Canis lupus familiaris: one gene and its partners. The protein of the gene in region 1 interacts with the protein of each later gene in a pairwise test. Links are inferred from orthologs where the notes say so. Each region holds a gene or a part of one and is shown on either strand. Other genes may lie near its edges.

Region 1 (4,020 bases):
CCTTTCTCATAACATTCCCTCTATTCCCTCTATCTAACAGAGATAAAGCAATATGCTAAACACAGAAGCAGAATCAAAGATTTCTGTTCCCAATAGTCCAGCAAGCATAATTTCAAAAGGAAAACAATACATTTAGAGTAAGATTCAGAACAAGTTACGAATAAAATACTATGGGAACTTAAAGGAAGGCACTATGGAATGATTGGCAAAATAAGAAAAGGCTTCACAGTAAGAATAGTGTTTTAAACAAGCTTTAAAGATGGGGGCACCTGGGTGGCTCAGTTTGTTAAGCAGCTGCCTTAGGCTCAGGTCATGATTCCAGGATCCTGGGATGGAACATCATGTCAGGCTCCCTGCTCAGTGGGGAGTTTGCTTCTCCCTCTCCCTCTGCCACTCCCCCTGCTCATGCGGTCTCTCTCGCTCTCTCAAATAAATATATAATACCTTAAAAAAAAAAAAAAAGAACTCTAAAGACAGAATTTCAGCTAACAGGTGTGCAGAGAAATACAAGATAAGGTAAACCTTGAAGGATGGAGAGAATCCACAAGAAACTTGTTGAGATTTATTTTATCCAGATTTAGTTGTTCTCAAGTCCCACCAAGGCATGACTCTCTTCCCATCAATATCCATCCTGATATTTGTTATCAATCACCTAGAATTATTGTCTATCCAGAATTTGTGGAACTTCCATGCTTAAGAAGTGATTCCACAGAAAATATGCTTCATAGGTATTTCCATGTATTTTAAATTACCATATAGGAAAAAACAACTTTCCTTTTTTTGGACCGGTATATTTCTAGTAAGTTTATCACCTCCCCCCATTCCAAATTCAGTCCGTTTTGGACGGGCAGAAACAAAACACATTAGTACTGAGACTTATCTACATTACTCAATTGAAGAAAAAGAACAGAGGCTGAGTTTTAACTCTTGTATAAATTACCAGGTGAATACAAACAGATCAAAATATATATGTACTTTAAATTTTAAAACATGGATTCAATATAAAATATTCTTGATTAAAAAGCTTCCAGAAATCATTATGTATAACAATGCACTGTTATATTTCAGGGGAATTTCCTTCATTGCTGTTAACAAAATACCAAAAACTATTCCTGTTAATTCTATGTATGCAGCAACATAAAAGTTATTCAACCATCATAGAATCGATCAAAAAGTACATTTCTTGACATTTAAATATCAAGGAGATGATTTTCCATACTTTGTCATAGAACATTGTCTCTACTATACTGCTCTGCAAACCATGAATACTCAGGGCACTGAGGACTCTTTCCACTAGTCACTCCTCAACCCTCCAAAATAGTAATATCAAGTAGGTCAAAAGGTCAGCCTATTTTGTAAAATACTCAGCACCACCAGAATACTAATTTGTATGTTTACTTCTCATTTAATGAGAAAAGTGATCAGTCTATCAGAATTAAGAAGAACACACTTGAAATTCCACCTGAAAACGTATACCTACGACACAAAGTGTTCAACACAGACTCCAAAACTACAAGACACATTTAATCTAAAGGAACCCGAGGGAGCTTCGACCTTCGCTTTACGGAAAGCCTTTCACTGAAATTCCAATGATCCCAGTATCAACACACATCATGATTCTTCTGTGTAAATAAACGTTAACACTCGCAGGTCTTGGTTGTGGCACTTATGTTTTACCTAACGCCTTTCTCACCAGCCTTGAATAGATAACAGGAAAACCTAATATGAAACAACTCCACAATAAAGATCCAAATGCTTAGCCAAAGTACATGTACTGGAAGCAGGGTGGTTTCTTAATAGCCAGTGGCTGCACATGATCTCGAATCTTATGACCAGCTTGCTGAAGGACTGGCCATTTCTAAAATTTTAACAGAAAGGAACAAGGAAGTAAAAAAGGAGAATGTGGAATCCTCTCTTAGCTAAAACTCTAAACGAACAAACAAGCCCCAAACCATGTACTATCAAAAGAAATAAATCACCCATCTTCTCTTAAAAAAGGGCCTCATCCATTTTAACTAATTAGCCTTCACAGCCAGTCCTACAACTATGTGCTTTGCTAAAATTTTGAAAAAGGGTGTTTTCTTTAAACCTTCAGGAAAGGTAAGAAGGGTTTTCCTCACTCTGGCCCTATGACAGCAAGAATATTTTATTATTAACAGCGCTCTTCTTCCTGGACTAAAGGTCAGCCTCTGCTCCGATCTGTTCCTGTTACCGTGTGTTTCTTGCACCCGTCACGTGACAAGCCAACAGCTCTCTTTTGAACTGGGGGAAAGACTGCGGAGAGCAGCACCGAAGTGTCCCTGAGACCCCTCCCCACCGCCGGCGGGCAAGCTCCCACAGCTCTGCCGCCCAGCCCGGTTCCCGCGCCCGACGGACGTGCCGAGTCCAGCTCCTGAGCCGAAGCCTCCCTAGCGCTCGCCGCCGCCACCGAGCCCCTCCTCCGCGCACCCGCACCCCCGCACCCCGGGGCAGCCCGGCCCCACCCCACCCCACGCCCTCGGCGCGGCGCCGCGCCTCGCCTCGCCTCGCCTCGCCTCGCGGCAGGTGAGGGCTGAGCCGCTGGCCCCCGGTCCTCACGGGCGGCTCACCTTGCTGAGGACTCCGCAGCGCTCCACGGGCGGCCCGGACTCCGTCTCCGGATCCTCCTCCGAGCCCGACGAGTTCCAGCTCTGGTTATCCGACATGGAGGCGCGACAGCCGAGCGGGAGACCAGCCCCCGCTCCCCGAGCCGCGCCGGAGGAAGCGCCCAGGAGCCGGGGTGAGGGCCCGGGGGGCGGGGAAGGGAGGAGTGCCCGCTCCGGCGCGGGGGGGGGCCGCAGGGGGCACGAAGTCCGGCCGCCGCGCCGCCGCCGCCGCGCCTGACACCGAGCGGACCGGGGAAGGAGGACGAGCGGCGAGGGAAGCCTGCCCTTCCAGCCGTCGGCCGCCGCCGTGGCCCCTGCGCTGCGCCCGGCGCCACCACCCGAACGCAGCCCCTTCGGTGCCGGCCTCCAACAGAAAAGGAACAGGAAAGACGGGAAGAGAAAGCCCAGCCAGAGCCCCGCTCCACTCACACCTCCGCTGCGGCCGCCATCTTCCTGCCTGGCCCACTATTTACCCACCCCTCCCCTGTCCCCTCCCCTCCGTCCTCCCCTGCTCCCCCGCCCCGTCCCCGTCCCCCTCCCCCGCCCCCTCCGACGTCTGACGGAGCACGCCGAGGGCCGGCGGTCCCCTCCCGCACCCTACCTCGGGTCCCCCCCGGGTACGCAGGGCGGAGAGGCGGGCGGAGCGGCGGGCGGAGCGGACAAGGGAGGAGGGACGGGGCCCCCGCCCCGCTGCATTCTGGGAAGGGCGCTGCTGCGTCGGGCGCGCGGCCTTCTGGGAGTTGTAGTCGCGATCCTGAGGCCACCGGTGAGTGTTGGCGCCCCGAAGGCTGTCGCCTGGGGGACCGGTCCAGTGGCGGGTGGGCTTCGTCTACCGGTTGTGTGATCCTTCCCCGCGGCCGCGCTTCTTGTCTCTTCCTGGCGTGTTTATGACGAAGCTGCGCCGGCTGGGGGGGGACCCGGGCTCGCCCTCCGCGGCCGCCTGCTAAGGCCCGGGAACGCCGCGCGGCTTCCGGGGGTGCGGGCGGGCTCCGCCGCGCCGGGCGGATCTGCGACCTCGCTGGTGACCCGGCCGCCCCCCGCCGAAGGTCTCCTATCTCGCGCCTCACACTCGGTGCGTGCCGCGCTTCACCGGGGCAAGCGCTTTGCATTTGTTAGATTCCGAGCGTTCATTTTGTGGAGAGTAATTTTGAAGATATCAGAGAATAAACGACGTTTGAAGAGTTTTTAAAGTAAAGTGAGAATGTGAAATGGTAGTCTGGGGTTTGCTTCACGTTGTGGGCCAAAACGCCCCCGAAGCCCGGTCGCCAACTCCACCGGACGTCGTCGCTCTGAGGGCGGCCGGGCCGCGGGGCGAGCCTGAGGTGCCGAGCGACCCGAGAAGAGATGAGGCGATGGGTGCAAGGCCCAGTAGTCGGTGCGTAAACGATAGGGACGA
Region 2 (3,566 bases), on another chromosome or scaffold:
TCCATCTTAAATATTTGACAGGATTCTGATTTTTGACACATAGATTTATAGTAACATGATTTCACTACATCTCTGTCATTTACTTTAAAAGAAAAGCAGAATTTTATACTCTACTCTTTTGATATTAAATTCTGGGTATGTCAGAAACGGAAGGCAAATAAACTTACCTTCAGAGAATCAACTAAATCATCAACTAAAAAGAGGCGTCTCAATTCCTTTATCGTGCAGTTCACATGACCAAGAGCAGAATTACTGTATTTCTGAACCAACTCCTCAGATATAGCGACTTCAGATTCCAAATATGCCCTGAAAAACAAAACACGTCCTAACTGTCACTGATCAGAGTATTTGTCCTGGATGTCCAGCAGTAATGTAATTGTAAAAGAAGACATTAGTTAAAATATTTTACCATAAAACCTGGATTCCAAATTAAGCACAATGTGAAAATTCACCAATCGATGCATATTTCATGGACATGCACACGGGCAGCTGATGAGCACAGAAAAAGATCATTTCCTTTCAAGTCAGACTGCTCTGGACTTGATTCTTATACTCTGCCACTTACTTGTCTATGTAACTTTGCAGTTATTAATTATCATGAGGATTCAGTGAGTACAGTGCTTAATGCAAGCAGGCATAAAGAAGCATTCAATAAATGGTAGCTGTTATGAGGGATTTGGGTTTTTTCTCTTTAAGCCGACATTATGCGGTCTCCTTGGGTTTTCCTAACAAAGATCCTATTCATTCCCAAATACTACAGTCTCTCAGCATAACTTTTAGAGGAAACTGCCCAATAGGTCAAGGTCCAGATTGTGAAATGGCTACCACAAGTATGGTGTTAATGCTAGTAAAACATAATAGTTACTGTCCACGTAGATACCCCATTCTATACTAAGATACCTGGAATCGTTCTATTTAGGAAGACAAACTGTAATGAAGAAGAAGAATCTTCGGCAGGAATGCAAGGAACTGTTTTATTAGTTATTATTTCAAAGAAGTCATTTTATCTTGGTAGAGTAGTACCAATTCAGAAATGCTAAGCATTGTCTTCTATCGTTGGAAGCAGCTCCTTATAACCCAGTCTCTCTTCATCACTCCCCGATGCTGGTGGACACTAGTTACTCATCCTGGAAAGAACAGTCATCTGATAATTCCCTGTCCCATGGTTTACTCCTATAATATGTCCCAAATATGTCTCTTCATTTTTACTCACTATGTTATCTCTCTAGTTTAAGTGTTCATTATTTAAAAACTGGAATATTCTGTATCCAAATGAATCACTCATCTGTTTACATACTAATCCATTCCTTTAGTCAATGCCAGGTGAGTTTTATTTTAGCTCTCTTAGGTAGTGCTACTTAGACTGAACTCAGGTAGGAGTTAGAAGACCTGCTACTATCTAGCCATGTAACCTTGCAAAGTCATTTGACTTCTCAGGGTCATGGTTCCCACTCTATAAAATTAGAGAAACAGACCTTCTTAAATATCCAGGCTCAAACCTTCTGTGATTCTATGATTCCAACTTTTCAACCAGAACCCTCTTCAATCTTTTCAACCTAATTTTTTACTACTCACTATGTTGCAGCCAAATATGAGCCATTAATTATTTTTTAATCCTACTACCTTTGTTCATCATACTGTTTTCCTAATCCACAATGCTCTCCTCTTACCTCTAGTAATAGCATATCCAGTCAGTTAGTCCATCTCAAATCCCACCCATCTATGAGGCCTCTTTGGCTCTTTCCCTAAGATCTTATTATGCAATTCTAACAATGCTTTCTTTTGTGGTATTATTATAGCATTAGCCATATCCAGCCCTGACATACAGACATGTGTACACTTGTATATTTTTCCTACTAAAGTATAAACTGTTTAAGACCAAGAAAATATATTTACAATGATGGCATAGCACTCAGACAACTTATTGATTACCAGCAGGTATCCAGTTGTTATTATCAAGTTAAAAATGATCGAATATTCATATCTACCCTTAAATCAGCAATAATTTATTTGTGCAGCTTTGAGAGACACAGAACAGAAGCTGATATAACTTTGAGTTCGTATTCTGCTTCTTTGTACCACAGTTTTTGTTCTTGCAGAAGACAAGATGCCTGGCCAGCAGGCACAGAGTGGCACTCTCCATCAGTGAAATCCCATGGATATTTACATTCATTCAACTAGCATGTATGTAATATTAATGCAATGCCAGCACTGACATCACTCTTTTCCAGAGACCAAAGGTATTAGATATAGACAGGATGGTACCACCTTTAGAAATGTGACTGGGAGAACTTGGAAAAACTGTCCAACAGGATTAGTCTGGCATGTTGGCTGAATTTATAATGACTCTAAAAAAATCCTCTGAAGAATAAAGTGTTTCTAAAAAAATAGGGAATAAGACAGCCACCAGATTTTTCCCAAAAGTCTTCTTTAAAATCAAACGATGTCTCAGATTGATATTGCAGATAATTTAGAAGTTTTGGCTTGACAATATTTTTATATTATTTCAATATATCTAATTAAAAATCATATTCCTGTATGATTTTTGGCATGATATGGCTACCATTTTGAAGCTGCAATTTCAAGTTACTGAACTTCAAATGTTTCCCTCTCTGTGGAAAAGAAGAATACCATCTGTCTCATTAAGTTGTTATGAAAATTAAGTCTGTGCATAAAAGGCCAGGGACATATGAGCCACTCATAAATGTTGGTCTCTCTCCCAAACTTTTTTTTCTCTCCCAAACTTTTATAGCATCGTTACTTCATCAATATGAAGAGAGCTAAATAACCAATCTTTACAATAAGCAAAATAATATAGATTGCAAAGTTTGAAAATTGGTTTACATTTACCCCTTAATATCAACTATATATGTTCTAGGTAGTTATATACTCATTCATGCCCACAGATACCTGCCTTACCAAAATAGTTTTAAAATATTCAAAATCTATTTGAGAAAAAAAATGATGTCTAAATACAAAACAATTAGAGATCATTTCAAAGCCAATAGGAAACGAATTCTCAGCTCATTGGAGCCAGTATTAGGGAAGCCTTCAAAAAGTTACATCTTGAAATCAAACACAGAACCCAATAAAAAGTAAAATAGTTTGGGCAGCCCTGGTGGCGCAGCAGTTTAGCGCCGCCTGCAGCCCGGGGAGTGATCCTGGAGACCCGGGATCGAGTCCCACATTGGGCTTCCTGCATGGAGCCTGCTTCTCCCTCTACCTGTGTCTCTGCCTCTCTCTCGCTCTCTCTGAATGAATAAATAAATCTTAAAAAAAAAAAAAATGTATAATAGTTTAGGTCATCTGAGAAGCTAAAAAGGCAGCATGAATGGGCATAACATCCTAGAAGAGGCAAATGAGAGACAAGATAAAGATATTTGGACTTGATCCTGTAGTGAACAGAAAGCCCGTTTGCCTAAAAATATAAAAGTATCCGAAGAAAATCTGACAACAGCTATAAAAGCTGAAACCTAGGTAACCAGAACCCAATTTGGTAACAAGTGAAGCCCACCCAGAGTAGACAAACTTCTTCTGTAAAGGCCTAGGAAAGAGCACTTAGGCTT
Region 3 (2,613 bases), on another chromosome or scaffold:
CAGTCTCACAAAGATCCTGTCCCTCACACTGTCCCTCACACTAATCCCACTGGGGTTAGGGTCAACGTGGGAGCGTTGGGGGAACACATGCAGTCCGAGGCAGCTACCAAGGAGATCACTTTTCCTCTGTGCTGCATTCAAGGCAACTCGTGAGGCTGTGCCGGGGCTCCCCACTGTCAGGTGCACTGGAGACCCAAGCATCCAGCTGCAGCTGCCCCCCGTTTCTCCTGGAAGAACAAACCATTTCGTTACAGTTTCAAATGTGCTTGTGTACAGCCAGGCCCAAGGGGACCTGTCTCTTACCTGTCTGTCCTCTCTCACCTGGACTAGGTCAACAGCCGTGCCCCAGCCCCCAAACACAACCAAACCCAGCTCCGACACCAGAGTCCTCGCTTCTCTTGTTCTGACCACTTCTCCTGAGCGTCACCCCCCGAGCCTGCCCCTCCCAGGGACATAAGCATCTGCGCTGCTGCTGCTTCAGCCAAGCCTCTCGGAAATACCGGACACCACACTCAGGAGTGCTTTCATTTTCCTTTATTTTTTTTAAAAAAGCCCCTAAACTCTATGGCTTCCAGGAAGCGTCAGAGAAACCGAAGTGCCATTTCTGTACACCGTGTAAAGCAAGACCTAGACACACACACCGCTGCCAGGCCGTCCCCAGCTGCTCCACCCCGAGTGGCAGCACAGGCCCTCCGGAGGGCCCGAGAGGACCGCACTCCCACCAGGGCTGCCCAGCCCCGGACACACCTGCGGGGCTGGGACAGGGCTTTAAGGCGCTTGTCTCCTGCTGCTCAGCCGGCAGCGTGGAGCACGGACACGACAAGCCCACGAACACCCGGGCACAGACCATGGCTCGAGTGGCCAAGAGGTGGCCGCCCCCGGGGCCCCGGGCCCTGGACACGGCTCCACGAGCAGGTGTGGCAGGAAACCCTGCGGGCTATGCCCGCTGGCCCAGGCTTTGGTGCAGCATTTTGGTTGGGGGGCCGCCCCCACCCCCGCCTTCCCCTGTGGTGCGGGGAGGCCCAGGGCAGGCTCGCCCCCGGCAGCAACGCCCATAGCGTCCCCTCGAGAAAACGGCCTTTGGATCGAGGGAGACAAGCTGGACTTTATGAGACTAACGGGACGGGCTGGCCGGCACGGGCAGCCCACTACTCACTTCAGCAGGCGGGCGGGAGGGGCGCAGGGCAGGGTGGCCACTGTGTTTCTCTTCTCCTTGTTTCAAATAGTTAATGCTCTTGGAGGGGAGGACTAGACACAGGTGTAGAAATTTCGGCCAAAGTCTCATGTGAAGGACGTGACCCCAAGTGGGGGGCGGGCGGCTGAGGCCGGCCCTGCAGTCTGCGTCCTGGCTGTAGGCCACGCGGCAGGGGCCAGGCTCGCCCCGGGGGCTGCGGCAGAAGGGTTCAGGGCGCCACCGCCCCAGGGTCACTTGTGGCGCTGCACTGCTTTTCTCTTCCTCCTCTTGAAGAAACAGCAGCATCTGCACGGGGGGAGTGAGGGGACAGACATGAGAGCGCTGGGTGCAGAGGGGGCCCGAAGGGTCCCCGCGCCCAGCAGCCGCCCGGGCCCTTACTTGGTGTCATCGGCCACCTCCACCTCTGCGGGCGCTGTGATGGGGGCGTTGGAGTGGCCGGCAGTGGGGTCGTCCGCATTCAGCTCCCCGTTGGTGGAGTTCAGCGCCTGGGTTTGTGGGGAGGGCAGCAGGGGAGTCAGAGGGGCCCTGCCCCACCCCCCACACTGTCGGGGTCCTTGGACCGGCCCCTCACCTGGTTTTTGCTGTGTAGCTGGGCTTTGTCCCGAGGCTGAGGCTGCGAGGGCAGGTCGGTGTGGACCGTGCCGATGGGTGTCGGCTGCGGGAGGGGGGGCAGGACGCAGCGCTGAGGCCGGGCAGCCTACTCCCACCCCCCGCATCCTGGGGCCCCACCCCTTCAGGAAGCAGGGCTCTGGGGGCACGGGGACCCCCACGTACCAGGGGCTTTCCCGCCCAGTCGTACTCATAGTCGAACACGAAGCCGCTGCGGTCAAAGAGGTCGGTAAAGAGCTTGCGCAGGTAGTCGTAGTCCGGCTTCTCGAAGAAGTCCAGGCGCCGCACGTAGCGTAGGTACGTAGCCATCTCCTCTGTGGGGAGCAGGCGGGCGTGCAGGGGTCAGTGGGGCCCGGGGGTGGTGGGGGCCGGGCGGGGCGGGGGGGCCGCGGGGGCAGGGGGCGCCCCTCACGCCTCACCTGGGAAGCTCTCGCAGAGCACCTCAATGGGCGTGGCCCGCTTGGTGTCCCCGATCTTCTGGTAGCGCTCCTTGAGCGTGTCGGCCTGTGGGGAGGGTGGTCAGCAGACCGCGACCCGAGGGCTCTCCCCCCGCCCCCCCGGCCCTGCGCCCACCTTGAGCCCCTGCCAGGGCAGGCTGCCACGCAGGAAGTACATGAACATGTGGCCCAGCGCCTCCAGGTCGTCGCGGCGGCTCTGCTCTGCGGGGGGAGAGCAGGTCAGCGCGGCCCCCGCGCCCCCCCGCCCGGCCCGCGCGCGGCTCACCCTTGCCCAGGTGCGTGTTGATGCTCATGTAGCGCGCCGTGCCCGTCAGGCTCTTGTGCTCCCGGTACGGGATGTGCTTCTTGGTC
Region 4 (4,314 bases), on another chromosome or scaffold:
ATTTAAACTAAGGACTTGCAACAACGATAAGGCTTCTTCCTCAAGGGGACCTGGCCTCCCAAGGGCCTCCTAAGGTCGTGAGCTGCCTTAGACGTGGAAACTGCAGGAGAGGCAGAGGCTGTCTTGGCGATGCACGTCAGGCGTTGGCTACCAGACCCAGACCTTTTTATGTCATATACATCAAGCAGCACTGCAGTGGGCTGTAATTCATTTCATTCCCGGGACACTGTGACTTACTAGCCACTATCAAAATCCCTATGGGCCCAGGCGTTCTGATTGCCCATCCATCCTTGCTGCCTTGCAGGAGACGTGCCCACCTTGCCCTTGGCAGTGACGTGCTGCCCCTTGGTCTCTGCAACTCCGGCCTGCCCTTATGCCCACTGCAATCAGGGAGCCCATCTCAGTGGAGGCAGCCTCTCAAGTCATGTCCCGCCTGCAAAAGAGAGATGCCATGGAGCGTTTCATGGATGCTCCCCTCACTCATCTCCATGCTGCCGTCTTCTGCTGCTTTTTATGGAACATAGTGGGCAGGGGGGTGGGGGGGTGCAGATCGCACATAATACGTCCAGCCCAGCAATCCTGTCTCCCCACACCTTTGGACTCCCTCTTCCCCATCATGACGTCATGGCTTCATTAACCTTAGGCCACTATTGGGTCCAAATGTCAGTTAATCAACCAAGTAAGCTGTTAGAGCCATCGCCAGCGGCACATGCTAATAACCAAATCCAAAATCTCCAGGAAGTGCATCCGTGACAATTAATTCTACCCAACACAGTGTTATTATCCTGCCCTCTTTGGTCTAAAATCCTTAAAATCCACTCCTACACGGGGCCCCCAGAATTCTGTTGACCTGTATTAGCGAAGCCCTGCAGTGCTTTGGATTCTTCCTCTCGTGTCCTAGTGTGTCACTGCCACCATGCGGAGATTTGGCCCTTGTCAGAGGTTAGTGACAATAGAGGCAGTTTTGGTTAAGTCTCGAGGAGAATGAGCAACCCCTCTCAAGATACCTGCCCCCGCTGAGGTCATCACAGGGTTTTTACACAGAGGGGAAACAGCTTCCTCAGACATGGGTGGAAAGGCCACCACCTCCAATAAGGGGGGGGGAGGTTGGCTTGGAGCCACGTGGGGTTTATGATGGTCAGTTTCACCGGGGGCCAACAGATGTCCCCGTTCTGTGTTTCAGGGTCCCTTTCTTTCCCAACCAATGCCCTAATTTTCACACGAGAGTTCTGTCAAGATGTGAATTCCATTGTGGTTGTAATTCAGCAACCAACACAATTAAATTTTATGTTTGATTTCCAGAAAATACCAGCCCTGCAGCTGTAAAAATAATAATAATAATAAGACCTGTAAAGGCTGTCATGACAGCTCTCTAGTCCTGGGACTGTGACTATGAGCTGAGCCAACGGACCTGCACTTGTCATCTCCTCTCTGCAAGCTCTAGAGCCCTCAAAAGGATCCATCTCACCCCTGCAGTCCTTATGGTCATCACCACTGCCATTAGCAGCCAAGGGAAGCATCACTCTGGCTCCCAAGGGACGTGCCTTGATGGCACTCCAGCTCAATCACCTGGGGGTGATAGCCTGGTTAATTACAGGGCCACTGCATACCTTGGGGGACGCGCACCCTGCCTCCCATCGGCAAGTCACTCAGCACCGTGTTCCAGCCCACGGAAAACCAGTCCACAAATCTCATCTCTGCAGACCAATCTCCTGGTACCACTGCTGACACCAATTCTACACTAGTTTGGGTCTAATCAAGAAAAAGGAACCACACAGTAATTCCAACAGGGAAAGTTCCACATGAAAAATTAGCTTCTAACAGGGGATTAAATGAATGTGGCCTTGGCTAATAAAGAATAAAGAGAACTGTAATTAATGTAAGAATAGCAGCTAAGGGAGCGGCTACAACCCACAGAGCTGAGGTAGAGCCCCCTGAGGAAGAGACCCCACCCAGGGCTGGGGTAGAGCCCCTAAGAATGCCACCCTTCACTCCAGGAACAGCTCCTGGGGGCTTTGGTAAGACCCTCAAAGATGAGTGAGGGTCCCCCCGCCCCAACAGAGGTGAAATATCAAGAAAGAGTCCCCTAGGGCTGAGGTAAAGACCCCAAGAAAAATCCCCCCTATTCAGGGGCCAAGAGAGACCCCCCCGCAAAGAAGAGTCTCTCAGGAAGAGACCCTCCCCCACATCAGGCTGAGATAGAGTCCTCAAGAAGGATTCCCCTACCCTGGGCTGAAATTGAGCATAAAACCACCCAAAAAGAGGTTTTATGGGGGGTGAGATAGACCCCCGTCAAAGAGGAGCTCCCCCCCCCAGAGCTGAGGAAGAGCCCCCCTCACCCAGGACTGATATAGAGCCTCAAAGAAGAGAGCCCTAGGGCCGATAGAGACCTCCACACACAAAAAGAGACCCCCCCCCCACCATGAGACTGAGCTACCTCCCCCTCAAGGAGAAACTCCCACCGGGGCTGACACAGGCCCCCACTAGAGTCCCCTCCTCAGGCTGAAGAAAACTTCGCAAGGAAAAGCCCGTGAGCTGAGGAAGGGTCCCCCAAAGTACACACACTCCCTCCAGGACGGCCATCCAGACGTTGCTGAACAAGACCTGGCTGCGGCCCACCACATGGCAAGCATTTGGCCTCGTGCCACACCTGCGGAACTTGCTAGAAACCCACCCTGAGGCACTTACCAGAGATCTGCCCGTGCACCGGGGGGAAGGCGATACCACAAAAGCCGCCTCTGGTGAGACACCTCACGACAGAACCGCCTCCAGAGCGGTGCCAGGGGAGCTGCGGGCCCCGGGGAGCTGCAGGAGCCTGGGAGCAGCCCAGCCAGGAAGCAGGGCCCTGAGCTGCCGCATGGGCTCCGGGGCGCCCTCTACTGACCCAGCCCAGCAGGCTGGCGGGGGGAGGAAGCTTAAAGGGCCCAGATCCATTTCCATGCAGCGGGCAGGAAGGGTGGTCTGGAGCCTGATGGTGATCGAGGAGAAGCAGCATCCAAAGAAATACTGCTCAGCAATGAAAAAGAAGGAACCACTGATACGTGGACTCATCTTCTAGATGATTAGGTCGAATGAAAGAAGCCGGACTCAAAACCAGCACATTCTGTAAATTCCCGCTTATGTGAAGTTCAGAACAGGCCAGCTGGTTTTTAATGACAGAAATTTTAAAACAAAGTGGTGAGGGAGGTGTTTCCGTGGAAAGGGGCACTTTCTGGGGTGAGGGACATATCTTCCATCGTGAGTGGGCCAGTGGTAACACAGGTGTAGACATTTGTCTTAATATTTAAGGTTTGGGGATGCCCGGGGGACTCAGTGGTTGAGCGTCTGCCTTCGGCTCAGGGCATGATCCCAGGGTCCTGGGATCGAGTCCTGCATCAGGCCCCCCCACAGGGAGCCTGCTTCTCCCTCTGCCTGTGTCTCTGCCTCTCTCTGTGTCTCTCATGAACAAATAAATAAATAATTTTTTAAAAATATTTAAGCTCTGTGCATCTCATGGCAGATCAATTAGAACTCAATTCTTAAAAATTAGCCCCCAAAGTTTCGGTTTCAGGTCATCACTGTGTACAATCTCCGCATAGTAGATACACAAGTACGCTTGAGTAAATAAATACAGGAGCGAATCACGCACTCTGCTTTCCTCGTGTCAAACAACTTGACGGTACCCCCAATTCACTAAGCTCAGTGGTCCCTCCGCCCACCATTTGTACTCTCACTTTGGGTGGTTCCAGTTCCCCATGGTCAGGTCCGGTCTGGAAGCAGGTGACCTTCCTTCTGACATACTGTCGGGTCACTAGGAGCCTAGCACTACACCGCGGTATCGCTGTCCTGCCCCTCGCCTCCTCTCAGGCATTTTCTCAGCTCACATCACCAAAGAGGAAGGGTGAGTTCATGGAGCACCTGGCTGGCTCAGTGGTGGAGCATCTGCCTTCGGCTCAGGATGCAACCCCGGGGTCACAGGATCGAGTCTCGCTTCAGGCTCCCCACAGGGAGCCTGCTTCTCCCTCTGCCGGTGTCTCTGCCTCTCTGTGTGTCTCTCATGAATAAATAAATAAAATCCTTAAAAAAAAAAAACAGAAGAAGAAGAAGGGTGAGTTCAGCACAACTGGGTATTTTGAGAGGAAGAGAAAGACCACTCTTAACCACTTTGTCTCTGGAGTCGGACGGTGCTCGGTCCAAATCCCGACTCGGCCACTTGAGGACCGTGGGTCTCCAGCGAGACAGCGCATCACCCTGAGCCTTGCTCCACTCATCTCTAAAACAGGGAGAACCATGGTTGCCCCTTGTTGCCGGGAGACACAGTGAGTTTACCCACAG

Evidence for each region.
Region 2: the proteins of CERT1 (region 1) and RTN4 interact in binary tests that used the Homo sapiens proteins (3 or more experiments, as listed by UniProt). The link is inferred for Canis lupus familiaris from reciprocal best matches to the Homo sapiens genes CERT1 and RTN4.
Region 3: the proteins of CERT1 (region 1) and CSNK1G2 interact in binary tests that used the Homo sapiens proteins (3 or more experiments, as listed by UniProt). The two-hybrid records come from large-scale screens. The link is inferred for Canis lupus familiaris from reciprocal best matches to the Homo sapiens genes CERT1 and CSNK1G2.
Region 4: the proteins of CERT1 (region 1) and ACTL8 interact in binary tests that used the Homo sapiens proteins (3 or more experiments, as listed by UniProt). The two-hybrid records come from large-scale screens. The link is inferred for Canis lupus familiaris from reciprocal best matches to the Homo sapiens genes CERT1 and ACTL8.

The regions. Positions count from the first base shown.
Region 1 is NC_049224.1:31,067,449-31,071,468, reverse strand, and holds the start of CERT1 (ceramide transfer protein), read right to left. Parts: upstream 2,803-4,020; 5' UTR 2,685-2,802; coding exon 2,589-2,684; exon of another isoform or gene 2,525-2,588; intron 1-2,524. UniProt on the Homo sapiens protein: Shelters ceramides and diacylglycerol lipids inside its START domain and mediates the intracellular trafficking of ceramides and diacylglycerol lipids in a non-vesicular manner.
Region 2 is NC_049231.1:57,169,101-57,172,666, forward strand, and holds part of RTN4 (reticulon-4), read right to left. Parts: intron 307-3,566; coding exon 168-306; intron 1-167. UniProt on the Homo sapiens protein: Required to induce the formation and stabilization of endoplasmic reticulum (ER) tubules. They regulate membrane morphogenesis in the ER by promoting tubular ER production.
Region 3 is NC_049241.1:57,484,637-57,487,249, forward strand, and holds the end of CSNK1G2 (casein kinase I), read right to left. Parts: coding exon 2,528-2,613; intron 2,464-2,527; coding exon 2,378-2,463; intron 2,309-2,377; coding exon 2,224-2,308; intron 2,119-2,223; coding exon 1,970-2,118; intron 1,851-1,969; coding exon 1,767-1,850; intron 1,681-1,766; coding exon 1,574-1,680; intron 1,481-1,573; coding exon 1,426-1,480; 3' UTR 520-1,425; downstream 1-519. UniProt on the Homo sapiens protein: Serine/threonine-protein kinase. Casein kinases are operationally defined by their preferential utilization of acidic proteins such as caseins as substrates. It can phosphorylate a large number of proteins. Participates in Wnt signaling.
Region 4 is NC_049223.1:80,106,281-80,110,594, forward strand, and holds the start of ACTL8 (actin-like protein 8), read right to left. Parts: upstream 2,865-4,314; 5' UTR 2,689-2,864; intron 1-2,688.